Linked DNA regions of Drosophila melanogaster. The protein of the gene in region 1 interacts with the protein of each later gene in a pairwise test. Each region holds a gene or a part of one and is shown in the gene's direction. Other genes may lie near its edges.

Region 1 (3,244 bases):
GAGCTTTCTTGAATGCACAACTTTATGCCCCTTTCACTGCTTCGCTAATTAATTCACCCCTAAGAAGAACGGTTTCCCAGTCCCAGGAAGCTGCATCATAAACCAACTTGTAATGGCGACTGCAGTCAGGCCAACGACTCTTATAAATGATTCTTAGAAAAAGGTATTATTGGAAAAACTGAGGCTAAAGGAAATTATTTACAAAGCTCATTGATACAACTTTTCAACAGTTATTATTATTGAGACACATATTATACATTTTCTAAAGTGTCTTAATTAATTTTAGCTAACTCAAAACACTAAAACAAATTAAGCCAAGTCAGTGTAAATTGGATCTTAGTTAAATGAGTTATTTGCCAAACTAACTTTGCAAATCCCATTTGTAATGTAATGAAATCGATGCAAAGCTAAACTACCTGTTTATTTACTACACCTCAATCATTAAAATTGTTGCTAATTTGCTAAAGCAGATTGAGTTACAGCTTGAGGACACAGTCGGTGAAAAGAGTGTGTTGAATTTCCTTCGATGTGGAAAGTACAAGTGATTAAACAAGTAAGTGAGTTGTATGTTGTCCTTGTTGTCCTTGACTACCCTCTCCTCAATAAGGATCGTGGTCCCCATGTCCGCTTCTACAGCTCTTTCCTCGCACATGAGCTTGTTGCCGAGTCTTCGGTTGGATTTTACCTACACCTTTTCGCTAACATCGAATACCCTATTCTGCGGCGAGGCGTTTTCTCTATCCCTTTCAGCTTTCTGGATCCTATTGTGGAAATCTACGTGTGGCTCATCAGGTTGCGTTAGGACGATGTCAGCCGATCTCCTTTTGATGACCGAGTGAATCGACCTATTATTATATTGGATAGTGGCCAACATTACTATATCGACCGTATCACTTATGCCCTTGTCTATCCTTATGCACCTGGCTAGCTCCAGCAATGTGAAAACGCTCCACCTGTCCGTTGGAGGTACTGTTTAGTGGTGATGCATTTGTAATGCTTACACCAAAGTTGTTGCAAAGCATGGACACGATCGTGTGCGACTTCAGCGACGGTTCGTTGTCGCAATACATGGTCTTTAATAGTTCTCGAGGCGGTAGGTTGTACGATGGCAAATTAAGAAAACTTCTCGACGCAAGTGAGGAATAACTTGTTGTCAGCATAAAAAAAAATGTCTTTGTGCAAGACAGTATTGTGTGACAGTATTGGCGTTTCACCGAATTCTTGCTTCATTGGGTGCCTATCTTACTTGGCCCTCGCACAAGTCCTGCAGTTCTGCACGATCTCATTGGCCAGCTTGGATATTTTGGGGAAATAGTATTCCGACAATACCTGCTTTACTTTTTCTTGCTCTGCTCTGTATGCACTATTGTGTTCAGCAGTTAAGATTTCCCTTCTTTCTTCGAATCTGAGAACGTCCACAACGCGGTTCCTGCAATGCCAGAACTGTGTGGCTGGGAACCTCCGGGATATCTCATCCTGTACCTTTGCGAGCGTGCGAAAATCGCAATGGAAAGCGTTTACGCCCCTTGGGACGATTATGTCTACTGCCAACCAAAAGGCGGGTTCTTTGATCCGCTTCTGCTTGTTGGGGTGGCTTGACCCGCTGATGGGCACTTGCCTAGTATTCTTTTTCCACCATGCTCCTCACAAAGCTGGCAGCATACGCATATCTTTCATGGTACTATTCCACCTCTTGCGCCAGCGCCAGAGTTGACGGCAAGAACAGCTGAGAACAGCACATCTGTGAGACTACGCTTGAGTCCCGAAACCAACACACAATGTGCATCTTCGCGGAAGTTTTCACAGAGGCCCTTTGACTTTATTAGTCAACAATGTAAGTTTTTGCCGACTTCATCGTAATATTGAAGTAAAGACATGCTGCCTTGTCTCAGCGTATCCAACTCGCTCGATTACATGAACTGGACGTTTGTCGCTGTATGCGACTTATAATCGCGTCAAAGTTAAGTACTGTGCCGAAAGAAGCCAGAACAAACATACGATTCATGTGCGCCTGCAAACTCGGGCAAGCATTGATGGCATCCAATTTGCCATCAAGCATACGCCAAGTGAGCCATCGCAACAGAGAGGGTCATCGGAGAAATGTTAAACTAGAGCGAACAGCTTACGTAAGTGATGGGATTTAAATGCCGGAAAAACTTAAATGGCAAGCTTAACGCCGTATCACGTAGCATCCATATTAATTGCAACGTGTAGTCGGGTATAAATAGCTCACTACCTGCCACAGCCGATCATTCAGCACTACTCGACAAGATGAACGTATTCAATGGTTTCTTGCTAGTCTTCCTGGGCCTGGCCCTCAGCTCTGTGGATGCACAGATAGCAACACGCCAGGAAACCTCGGAGGACAAGGCTTGTGGTCCCCACGCCTACTACAATTACGCCCGGCACACTTGCCTGCCATTCTAGGAACCTTTCCAAAGTGTCCTATGCCTAAAGAAATAAAACGTTAAGGTACTAAATGTACCAGAAATAAATACGCGATGTTTAAGTTAAATGGGAAAAGAGGGTGCAGCATAAAAAGAGTGGACATTACATTAATGGTAATTCTATCCTTTTGGGAGATGCTTAAGAAGAAGATCATTTACAATACTTCTTACTGTTCAGAACCATCGATTTAGGTTAAGAAAATAACTAGATTTCTTATTATGAATGAATTGGTAAGCTCAATGGGCCATTATTTGAACGACCTTCAGCAGCTACCTCATCCACACCATGACTCCGAGGATGTGTTGGCAAGGACGTGGAAGAGCTTTCTTGAATGCACAACTTTATGCCCCTTCCTTTCACTGCTTCGCTAATTAATTCGCCCCTAAGAAGAACGGTTTCCCAGTCCCAGGAAGCCGCATCATAAACCAACTTGTTATGGCTTATTAATTTTGCATGCAGCCGCGACTGCAGTCAGGCCAACGTCATGTAAACATGTGCAGGATTCCACTGGCTCCTGCCTGTGAGAGGGGGTCCTGTGCTCGCAACTGAGAACTCGAGCCCGGAAAAGACAGCCTGATGGGGCCTCTCATCGGGAAAGTTAAAGCCTGCTCGAGGCAGATTTATTGCATTTTAATGCGGGCTCTGGATTGCACTCAATTGGTTAACTGGCCGACAAACACAGATTTAATTTCAAATATTTACTATTATCTGCGGGGAATCTTTGGACAGCGAATAAAACGTTTTTTCCGTGTGCCGCTGGCATAAAAATTATATTTACTGACTGAATGAAATTTTC
Region 2 (4,944 bases), on another chromosome or scaffold:
TAAAGCATTTTTCAGTGCGGGTTATGAAAGCGGTGGGCGGGGAGAAGAGGTGTGGGGGGCGTGTCGTGCATACTGCATGTTGCACCAGAAGCACACGTTGCATCGGAATAGATGGCTCATAAATCCCAACTGACTGGAAACATCTAATAACTATGTCAGCATGTGGCTCTCAAACTGTAAAGCTGGCACGCACCTAAAAATGAAAATGGAAAACTGGGCGGGTTTTAACAAATTGTGGATCCATAAAGAACTCATTGAATTTGACAGGATTTCCTAAATCAATTCTTTATTTTATTTTAATTTCGTGTAAAATCACCCGTATAAAAATGCAAGAAAATTGGTAAAAAAGTGGAATTTATCGCGTAATGCAAGAGCACGTTGATATTACAGGAAAAACTCGGTAGCATCAGTGAAATTGCATTTTTCGACTGCCTAATTTTCCATGCGAAACCTCCTGCTTCTCTTCATAATAGGAGAACTGGCACTAAAACTGACCTCTGGGGTCGTCATCATTTTTGGCTCACGTTTATGATTGAAAATGTTCGTTTTTCGCAAAGCGGAGGAGTTTTGCATAAATCAAGTCAATTGGGTATATCGAGGAAAGCCAAATGAGTGATGGTTTTGAGTTTAAAACGGGGTGAAATTACATAAACTTCATATGTGAGATTATTTCTGGAAAGGATTTCAAATATTACAAAAAAATTTGGGTAAAGTCGAGATATTATCTTATTTGTAGACTTAGACAAATGTAATACGAAACAATGTGTTTAGGTTCGAAAACAACGAATTGATGTAATGATTTATGTAAAAAAACTGTACATTTAGGTACAATTTAGGAATTTATCTTATGATTTATGTAAAAAAATTGTACATTTAGGTACAAGTTTATTTGATGTATCTTAAAATGGTCATAACTTGCATTTTTTAAGTAGCCAATTAGCAAGTTTCAAATCGTTGTGGACCAATAAAAGTGGGCAAAAAAACACTTGGACTTTCAGGTTTTTTGCAATAAAAACAAAACCACAACTTAAGGCGCCTTTGGAAATAAGCCTTGGATAACAAAAACAGCAAACGAGGAAATTGGGAACAATGGACCGGCAAAGAAAAGCTGTCGCTCCCCGAAGCAACAACAACAACAGCAACAGAGGCTATGGATTAGCCACACGTGGCCCCCCACACTACCTCCCAACCACCCACTTTGGGTCAGGAAAATGAAAAACGATTCGAGCGCCAGAAGAGCCAAAAGAAATCGGCGAAAAAACCTTAAGAAATGCTGGAAAAATACCCAAGTGACCCAGAACTTGTGCAAGAAAATAGTCAAGGTGCTCGAGGGGAAATTGAAGGGGGAGGAGTTCTGCGGAGGCGTTTGATTTTCCTACGCTTTTGATGTTTTCCAACTAATGACGAAAGCAGCCAGCAAAAAACTCGAATGTTCGCCGAAAATGTTAGCCTGCTGTTAAGAGAAGCAAATAGCCCCAACATCCGGCGCAATAAATTTCGAAGAGCGGTTAACGGTCGACTTCGAACTACATGTTAGCATTTCGTGTTGGAGTCTGCGCTATGTTCTGATTAGAATGTCTAATTTGGAATGTCAATGAACATTTTAATTAAATGTTAAAGTTTTAAATATCGTGTTTTATTTCAGTACTGATGCAGCTATTGATATCAAGAGGCATAGCGCAGAATAAAAAACTAAAGTAAAATAATAAACATTGATTGCATTTGCAATTTTTAAATTCGTAGAACATTTTTCTAGCCAGGGCGCAATCCGTCATACAGAACTCCAATCAGAACTAAGTGCTGCCTCAAACCTCACGGCACAACCGGTTAACAGAAGCCGCTCTTTTATCGAATTCGAACTCGCTCTCTCCAACTAGAGCTGTAAGCCCAACGTTATCGGCCTGTAATCGAACATTTGCCATCTCTAGTGCGCTCTCCAACGATTTTTGTTATTGCTTTTTCAACCGCGATTCGTGCAGCATGTGTGTTCGCGTGATCTGTTAAAAAAATAATGCTTAAAGCACATCGGTAACCGTTAAAGTCGCCGGGGAAAAAACCAATATTGATACTAACGAATTTTCGAATAATTTTCACAAAACGATTTTGTGCGCGATTTTTTCGTCCAGGCTCAAGAGGAGTGCGAGCGAGAAGGAGCGAGACAGTCGACGGTGGCTGCGTGCAAAATAACGGTGCACCGAATTCGACCAAATAAAAATTGAAAATAATCGCCGTGATTATTAGAATTTTAAACTGCCAACTGCAGCTAACGAATCAACCGATACGAGAAACCGATCGATGTGAAGTGCAAAAACAAGTAGAAAAATACAAATAATAAAAACAAAAACCGGTTCGCCTCTGCAGCAGCAGAAATCAAAGCCAAAAACGAAAAGAAACAAAAATCAAAGACAGCGAAAGAATTTTTGTTGTTTGGCCGGTGCGTATGTGTTTGTGTGTGTGCGTGCGCGTCTGTGTGTGGGAGTCTGCCAGTGTGTGTGAGCCTCTCGGCAAAGGAGAAAAACGCACAAGTCGGTAGGAAAAAGGCGTACGTAAGGAAAACGAAAAAGAGAGGAAAAAACGCAGTAGGAATTTCTTGTTTCCCCAAAACCGAAAAAAAAAAATCCACGTAAACCCGTTTCCCTGCAAACACACAAAATATAAAAGGTGAAAAAGTACAAAAAAGAGTAATATCTGTGAAATAAACGGAGGCCGCAAAAAGTGGCACAAGTGAAAATTCCTGCGCCGTTCGTTTTATTATTATTTTTCTGTTGCCGTCTTTTTGACAATCGCCAAAAGTGAAAATCAATTTGCGAGAGCGCGCGCGCAAGGAGCGAAAAGGAAGAGAGAGAGAGAGAGTGTGAGAAGGAGAGCGAGGAAGAGCAATCCCGATATAGAACTCGTCCTTTTTCGGCCCCAAAATTACCCAACCCAAAAAAAAGAGAAAGAAAACTGAACGAAAAACTCCCGGAGAAAACAACAACACACAACGATAAACTGCAAAAGTAAACAAATTGCGCCGAAACTAAACGAATTTCGGAAAACTGCAGCCAACGGAAAAAAGGTCAGTACACAGCGATTGATTGGCCGGAAAATTAACTAAATTAAAGTAAAAACCCTCGAGTGCCAAAGTGGTGTTGAGCAGCAAACACCTTTTAATAGTCCCCCATTTGACCTTCACCCATGGACACCCTCGCAAATTGGTAGCACCAAAGTCGGGCTAGCAGTTAACCCTTACCCTTGATCACCGTTAATTGGACCCCCCTCCTCAGACTATCATGGTCATGGTCAGCAGGTTGTGAAAACGGTCATTTATTGAGGTGCGTTACCCTTGCATTATATAAGGCACGAAACTCTTCAATGAAAATCTAATTTCAAAAGGATTTTAACCACTGTAAGAAAAAAAGTTAAAAATGTATTAAAATATCGTATAGAAATGTAAAGGTATTTGTGCTTTAGATAAATGTAACAATAAAAAGGTGACATCACTATCTGTAACTATTATATTGAATTATTGCATTTGTCACTGCAACTGATGATTTCAAGAAAATCGTTAAGACCTACGACAGTTATTATGAAGCAGCTTTTCTGCAACTTAAATGACTGTTACTTCTGTTCTATGGCAGTTACCGCCTTCTTCGAGTTGCACACACTCATTCGAAATAAATTCGGACTGGCAGCACGTTTACCATTTGGCTGACTCTTTCTTTAATCGCACCTTTTTATGGGCCCACCGTTATATTGACCTTCACTCGAGGGGTTCTGCTCTTGAAGAGGCATTCATAAATTTCGTTTTCTGTGCGAGTGATTTGGAAATTGCACGCTTCCCTTTTTTTTTGTTTTGGAGGGGCTGGCTGCTTCCCCCTTTTTGTCCCACCAATTGCAGTTATCTTGGTTGTTTTTGTTCAACTTTACTCATTTGTTCATAACGTGACTGGTTCTTGTTGTGGCCTATTGCTTTTTGGTTGTATTTGTTGCTGCTGCAGCTATTGTTGTTGTTGTTACACAAGCGTAACAATAAAATTTCAGACTGGCCCGCCATGAAAATAGTTAAAATTTTATATGTGCTGTTATGATCATGTTTTATCTGATAGTTGTTCGCTTGTGGCACGTAACACGGTTTGTTTTAAACTTTTTCGTTGATTTGCAGGCGGCATGAAAGGGGCAAAGATATATGTACATATATGTTTATATATATGTTTATATGTACCTACATATATCACGTAGATCAGCGAGGGGAGAACTATCTGAGATCCAAGAGTTGGGTCAGCGGCTGCTTTTTGTCTCGGTTACTTAATGTGGATGCGGCTTAATTGTTCCAAAAGATCAGATATCTTGTGCTGCGCCTACAGTTGTGTTGAGATATAATCGTTACCCAGAAAATAAACATAAATATAAAGGTTTTCAGAAGAGCTTTAAAAATCATATACAAATCAGAAGAATATACAGTGCATTTAATATAATTTATTTGTAGAGCATTCCCATATAATTTTTTCTTGGAAAACGTATAAATTTACATTGAAATATTTATACTACTAGTTAATGCCAAAATAATATAAATATTAATGCTCCAAAATTTGCTCATGCTCATTTATCAGTCAGAATAATTTCAAAATGTAAATATTCTGAATGTTTTAGTGTCACGTTGAATTTAAGACGTGATCTCATGCTTCCCTACTCGAACCGAATACTTGCAGCTCTCACTGTTAACTGTTTGCGTGATCTTACTTAATTTCCTTACTTTGTGTTATATTCATTAAAAGATTTGACAATTTGCAGTGATAAATCAAAAGAAATCTGAACTCCTCGTGGCCTGCAAAGAGTGACATTTTTGCTCAACATTTTGACCAACATTTCGCCCAATTTGCATAAATTTCAAGCATTTGATTCATACGAAACGCTCCAAGTCGAGAAATTCGACTTTTATGGGCAAACTCCAAAAGGCCCAGG
Region 3 (5,967 bases), on another chromosome or scaffold:
CTGGCGGATGGACGTGTAGTATTTGCTGTAGTCGCCCAGGTACAATTCGTCCTCGTACTTGGACACCAAGGACAGAGAATTGGGTCTGCTGGAGTTCTGGGCAGCGGTGGTCTTTATCACCTGGCCCAGCGACTGCTCAACAGTGCTGGCCATGCTGTTGAATGTGGACGTTAGGTTTGCATAGTTGTACTTCTCACCGTCCAGCCGAGTGCTGGGGTTGCGGCACACCCAGATGCAGTACACCCGGTTGGAGCAGGGCAGTATCTGGAGGAGCACGGAGTAGACTACCTCTATGACGGAGCCATCGGCGTGAATGGCCTCCCCCACAAAGCTTCCGTTGATGGAACTAAGCAGTCTGGTGGCGGGATTGCTGCCGGAGGCATCACAGGTCTCCGTGGACGCGGACTTCGCCTTGTCAAGGGACGACTCATTCACCTGCGACTGCGATCCTACCTCAAACTCGTCAGCGGGGAAACTGTTTGAGGCATTTACAGGTGTTAGAATGTCATCTATTGTACAATCATCTGGCTGGCGGAGGTCGCAGAATAGACCACTGCTGTTCTCCAGATTGCAGCTTAGGTGGGCATCGCCCACCGAAGACTGTTCGTTGTTGGGCGCCGTCCTGTTAGTCGAGCTCTTCTTGCAGGATTGCAGCGAGGAGTCGTTGTCCACGACGAGGGGATCCGTGTCCGGCTCCCAGTCGTTACTGGTTATCGAGGTGTTCGAAACATTCGGACTCTTCTCCTCGCGAGAGTCCTTGCCGAAATTGGGTAGGATCGCCGATATATGCATGTTCATTATCTTGTCCTGACCATATCCGAACATTAGCAGCGAGAAAGGCTGGTTGCACATCAGTATGTTGCCTATGTCATCTACCACAATCAGGCCACTAAGATTCTGGAACACCCAGACGGTGATATTTAGACCGGTTTTTCCCGAATGGGAATACCCCGCAGAAGCATCCTCGTCCAGGGCTATTAGCAAGCACAGGGGAAACTTTACGTTATCCGTAGTTCGACCAGTAGCTCTCTGCTTCCGCAGGCTCTTGGGGATCTCACGGCTATCCGGATCGGGCAGCTTTATAAACGGGATAAGGGTGACAATGCTGACACCCACCACGCTTTCGACGGATTCATAAAAGAATATGGTGGCCGTGGTGGAGTCAACGGATGTTATCACTCCGGATCTATCGGTGCTGATGTGGCAAATATGCCTCTCCACAGGCTCCGCGACGGCTATGTGTCGGCCATCGCTGCTGATCTGCCGGATCCAGAGAGAGACCAGGATCTTGCCGCCCGACTTGGTCTTCATCTCGATGACCTTTCCACTTAGCAGGACGACCCGGCCCTCATCGCCTTCGATCTGCATCTCCGCCAGGGAGGAGATGTGGCTCTCTGTCTTGCCGTTAAGCAGGTCGAAGAATCCCTTGTTCCTCAACTCCTGCGACGTGTAGCCCAGCAGCTGGCAGGCCTTGTTGTTCACTATAAAAATTTGCCCTGTGTTCGCGTCGATTGTGAATATCGCCTTGTTCGGGTTGATCACCTTTGAGGAGTGCAGATTGGGGGGGGGCATGCTGAAGGAGCTGGCGTCCATCATGTTCAGCATGCCGGACGAGTTCTGGCGACTCTGACTGTGGCTGCCCATAATGGGGTCATCTGGGAATTACACGATTTTTTGTAAATAATTTAGTACCGCTCTTGAGTGTACATCTATATAGCTTTACCATTAGCACATCGGTTTCTGGAGCACTGGGCATTCGAACTACTCAGCTTACCAGCGGCTTGGTCTGTCACGTCGCCCTGATCCTCCATTTAAGCGTCGTATGTTTTCCAAGTCCCAGCGGTTCCAACTCGAGGCCTACAGCTACAACCAAATGAGCGCACCGTAAACATTGGGAACTCTGCTCGTAGAAAATCAATTGAATGGCGCATGCGAAAAGGGGAATTCCCCAGTGGGTCGAACGGAACGCAGACACGTTGAATTGGGCTGGCTTTTGTGGGGTTTCCTTTTGCGTTGAGGTGTCTTTAAATCACTGTATTCGAAAGGTTGAAAATTACACTTGGTTTTATGTACTTTAATGCGAACAAGTTATATATATTTGAATGTCCCGCTAACCCTTAGCCTGCAGCCCTGGCGCCGTCATCGATATAATGGCTCTGGGTATCGATTGCTGCCTAGAACGCACTTACTTACATATAAACTGGGCCTAGCTACGTGTGGAAAAATATCGGAGAGAGCAATACAAAACGTATTGTTCTTCCAAACAGGAAGGTTTTTTTTCGTTTTCCACAAAGTATTCAGTGCAGTGCACACTCGAATATAGTTCGAATACGGTGAAAATGCCACGCATATCCGAAATAGCCGCTTCCGTGGGGCTGCTCCTGCTTATCGGAGTGATCAGTGTGGATGGCCTTGTGAAAGAGGGGGATTACCAAAACTCCCTTTATCAACAGAATCTCGAGTCGAACTCCGCAACAGGCGCAACGGCTTCGTTTCCATTCCTGATGCCCAACGTTTCGCCCCAGACCGTAAGTCCAGGTTCCTGAAAAACGCCATACATATACATCATGGAGTTCGCTCCATATGGATGAACAGATTCGCCCAGCTGCAGCTGTGCGCATACAATTCCAATCAGATTAGAAAAGTCCTCGATATAGGCTCTGGTTTTTCCCGTATCTTCCGCGCGGGGAAAACCCATAAGAGTACTGTGCAAATTTTTCCATATGTTCAGTTGTACCCGAATACACACAATTCGCCACCCACATGTAAGGCCCTGAAACCGAAACCTGTAGATTGCACTTCTCGAACCTGCGCCGTAGATACGAATTTGTTTTTACGAGGGTGGCGAAAAAGGGCAAACGGCCCACTGAAGGCCATACTCCCATTTGAATAATACTTGTTGACTTATCCAATATGCCTGTTCTCTCTAACAAAACTAACAAATATATATATGTGTACATATATAGCCCGATCTGTACTTGTGCACGCCCATCAAGGTCGACCCAACTACCACCTACTATATTGGTACGTCCTTTCGAATGAGATTCATTCCTTAAATACTTCAACTAACCTTTCTATCTTAAATAGTTGGCTTCAATCCTAATGCCACGATGAACACGGCCCACCATATGCTGCTCTACGGATGCGGAGAGCCCGGAACCTCGAAGACCACCTGGTGAGTTGCAAGTGATGTTTTCAGACTAGTAAATAACACGCACATTTTTGCTCACAGGAACTGTGGCGAGATGAACCGAGCTTCCCAAGAAGAGTCTGCCAGTCCTTGCGGACCCCACTCCAATTCCCAGGTATTAAAAGAAAAAGAAATGTCCAAATAGGCCCCCAGATAGACACCACACATTTATTGGGCCGACAAATTTCGGGGACTCGGGACTACAGTTTGGCAGGCTGCGCAAATGGGTTGACCGTTCTCGATCCAGAATTCCCGTGCGCTGATCCTTTTGCGGCAGTGGTGGCACTTAAAGCACTTGGCATGCCACTTGGTGCTCAGCGCGACCACGGCTCGACGATCGATTGGCTTCTCACAGCCTGCGCAGCGGGACGAAAACAGTTCCCGGAAGTGCGCCTTGCAGAACAGGTATCCGTTGACTTCAAAGAAGCTCGCCGAGACCAGCGACTTGCTGCAGCTCACGCACCGGAAACACTTTTCGTGCCACTTGCGCTCCGCAGCAGCCACGCCGCGCTCTAGGATCGGAGTCCGGCAGGCGGAGCACCGAGCGGCATGCTTGTCCAGATAGCACTCGCTGCAGACCACGTCGTCGTCCACCGCGAAAAACAGTTTAGGATCAACCACCAGGCCGCACTCCTTGCAGGTGAAGTGGTGCGGATGGTACGTCTTACCCAAGCTGCAAACTGCCCGTGGCCAAATCTTCTCGTTGCATCTGCAGCAAATTGAAGCGGACATACTAGGCAGCTTTCTGATAGACAAATTATAAATTTTAAGGAAAAATCGGAAAGATAGTTTTAAAGTCAAATTTTGTCTTGTTCTTGACACAAAAATCGAACTCATATATAGTAACATTTCAAAACGATTGATGTGGCATATGAATAAAGATCGAAATGCGCGGATAATTAGGAGTTAACTGGCTAAGTTTTAATAGGTCAATCCTTGACAGTCAGCACAGTTTAATAAGAGTTTTGAACCTGTTTATCGAGTTTTTCCTTTAACTAACTGCCAAATGTGCTAATAGACAATTTCACCTACTGGACTAACACTTACCTCTCAACAGATCGTATACGCTTGGGCCAGAGACGCCCAAAAGTTAAATCTGCCCGAGGGAGTGGGTTTCAAGGTGGGCAAGAACTCGCCAATCAAGTACCTTGTGCTGCAAGTTCACTACGCGCACATTGATAAGTTCAAAGGTAAGTAATAGATTGCGTTCAATATAAGGAAATTTAAATGTGTTTTTCTTCAGATGGCTCCACTGATGATTCTGGTGTGTTTTTGGATTACACAGAAGAGCCGTAAGTTCCTTTCGTTTAATATGCGTGATTTTCAAAATAATCAGTACCATCCTGGCAGTCGGAAAAAGCTGGCTGGCACTCTGCTGCTGGGCACTGACGGACAGATTCCGGCGATGAAGACGGAGCACCTGGAAACGGCCTGCGAGGTGAACGAGCAGAAGGTGCTGCATCCTTTTGCGTACCGGGTGCACACCCACGGCCTGGGAAAGGTCGTTTCCGGCTACCGGGTGAGGACAAACAGCGACGGCGAACAGGAGTGGCTGCAGCTGGGCAAGAGAGATCCCCTCACGCCCCAGATGTTCTATAACACCAGCAACACAGACCCCATAATCGAGGGAGATAAGATCGCCGTGAGGTGTACTATGCAGAGCACTCGCCATCGGACTACCAAAATAGGGTAAGTACGCAGTGATTTGAAACGCAGCTCTAGCACCACTCCTAATCCAACTATTTATTGATGACAGTCCCACGAACGAGGACGAGATGTGCAACTTCTATCTCATGTACTACGTGGATCACGGGGAGACACTAAACATGAAGTTCTGCTTCAGCCAGGGCGCCCCCTACTACTTCTGGTCCAATCCCGACTCCGGCCTACACAATATCCCACATATCGAGGCGAGCACCTTGTAATCAGCGCTCGTCGAGAGCCAGGAAATCGGCCGCGGAAAGAGAAACGAATGTATACTACCTTACTGTCTGGATTATTTTATCGTGTGCAACAACTAATGATGGTTTAGCCTCATTCTGTATCCCCTTTTGTTGGCCACCAATGATTTATATAACATATTTGTGTAACGTGTAAATAAACATATGTAGATAATTCGCGAGAGCCGCTGGAGATCCTATTGAATGGATTTGGGAGCACTTAGCTGATCGCCGCAAGGTTAATCTCCTTCCCATTCGTCGCGCATAGCAGGAACCAGCGATCAGCGATCATTCCACTACGCAGTAAATGAGACTGCTCCGACGTAAATATTTTCAATGCAAAGCATTTATTCTCGCGTTTTTTGTATGTATATAGAATTTATGGAATATATGGTATTATCTGCATACATATACATATTTAATATATAATTTGGTGTAAAATTATAAACGTACAATTAGATTAGTTATAAATTACACAAACTTAAATATCTCTCACATTTTATAATAACTTGCAAACTCGTATTTGTTAGTGTTAAACTCTAAATGACTACCGGTTGGCTGAGGCGGCAAGTCCTCAAATGTGTAGGCTAGCAGAGCTCCGTTGTTATCGTGTGCGGCGTAGTTGAGATCATTGTGTGTTTCAATTACACTTCCGGTGTAGTCTTGTTGCGCGTATGTACAAGTGCTCCCGATGGCGTCCGCCTCCACGAAGCTGCTCCCGTTGAAGCCAATCTGCGGCGAGTTGGAGGTGGTCAGAATGCTGCATTCGCTGTCCTCGGCGGCCGACGGGATCGCGTTGAAGTCGTCGGCCTGGAATGTGGTGTGCCCAGCGTCCGG

The links.
Region 2: the proteins of Met75Cb (region 1) and Prosap interact in a two-hybrid assay, tested with the Drosophila melanogaster proteins (one large-scale study listed by BioGRID).
Region 3: the proteins of Met75Cb (region 1) and Phm interact in a two-hybrid assay, tested with the Drosophila melanogaster proteins (one large-scale study listed by BioGRID).

Annotation. Positions count from the first base shown.
Region 1 is NT_037436.4:18,468,626-18,471,869, reverse strand, and holds Met75Cb (Met75Cb), read left to right. Parts: upstream 1-2,251; 5' UTR 2,252-2,271; coding exon 2,272-2,427; 3' UTR 2,428-2,492; downstream 2,493-3,244.
Region 2 is NT_033778.4:14,137,903-14,142,846, reverse strand, and holds the start of Prosap (prosap), read left to right. Parts: upstream 1-1,944; 5' UTR 1,945-3,058; intron 3,059-4,944.
Region 3 is NT_033778.4:23,984,675-23,990,641, reverse strand, and holds Phm (Peptidylglycine-alpha-hydroxylating monooxygenase), read left to right. Parts: upstream 1-2,186; 5' UTR 2,187-2,339; coding exon 2,340-2,528; intron 2,529-2,966; coding exon 2,967-3,024; intron 3,025-3,087; coding exon 3,088-3,175; intron 3,176-3,232; coding exon 3,233-3,305; intron 3,306-3,333; exon of another isoform or gene 3,334-3,358; coding exon of another isoform or gene 3,359-3,922; exon of another isoform or gene 3,923-4,027; intron 4,028-4,247; coding exon 4,248-4,380; intron 4,381-4,433; coding exon 4,434-4,482; intron 4,483-4,540; coding exon 4,541-4,879; intron 4,880-4,946; coding exon 4,947-5,115; 3' UTR 5,116-5,467; downstream 5,468-5,967. Other genes in the region: Pask (PAS kinase), read right to left, coding at 1-1,655, 1,724-1,811; CG30178 (uncharacterized protein), read right to left, coding at 3,359-3,922; Sox14 (Sox box protein 14), read right to left, coding at 5,623-5,967. UniProt on the Drosophila melanogaster protein: Monooxygenase that catalyzes an essential reaction in C-terminal alpha-amidation of peptides. Produces an unstable peptidyl(2-hydroxyglycine) intermediate.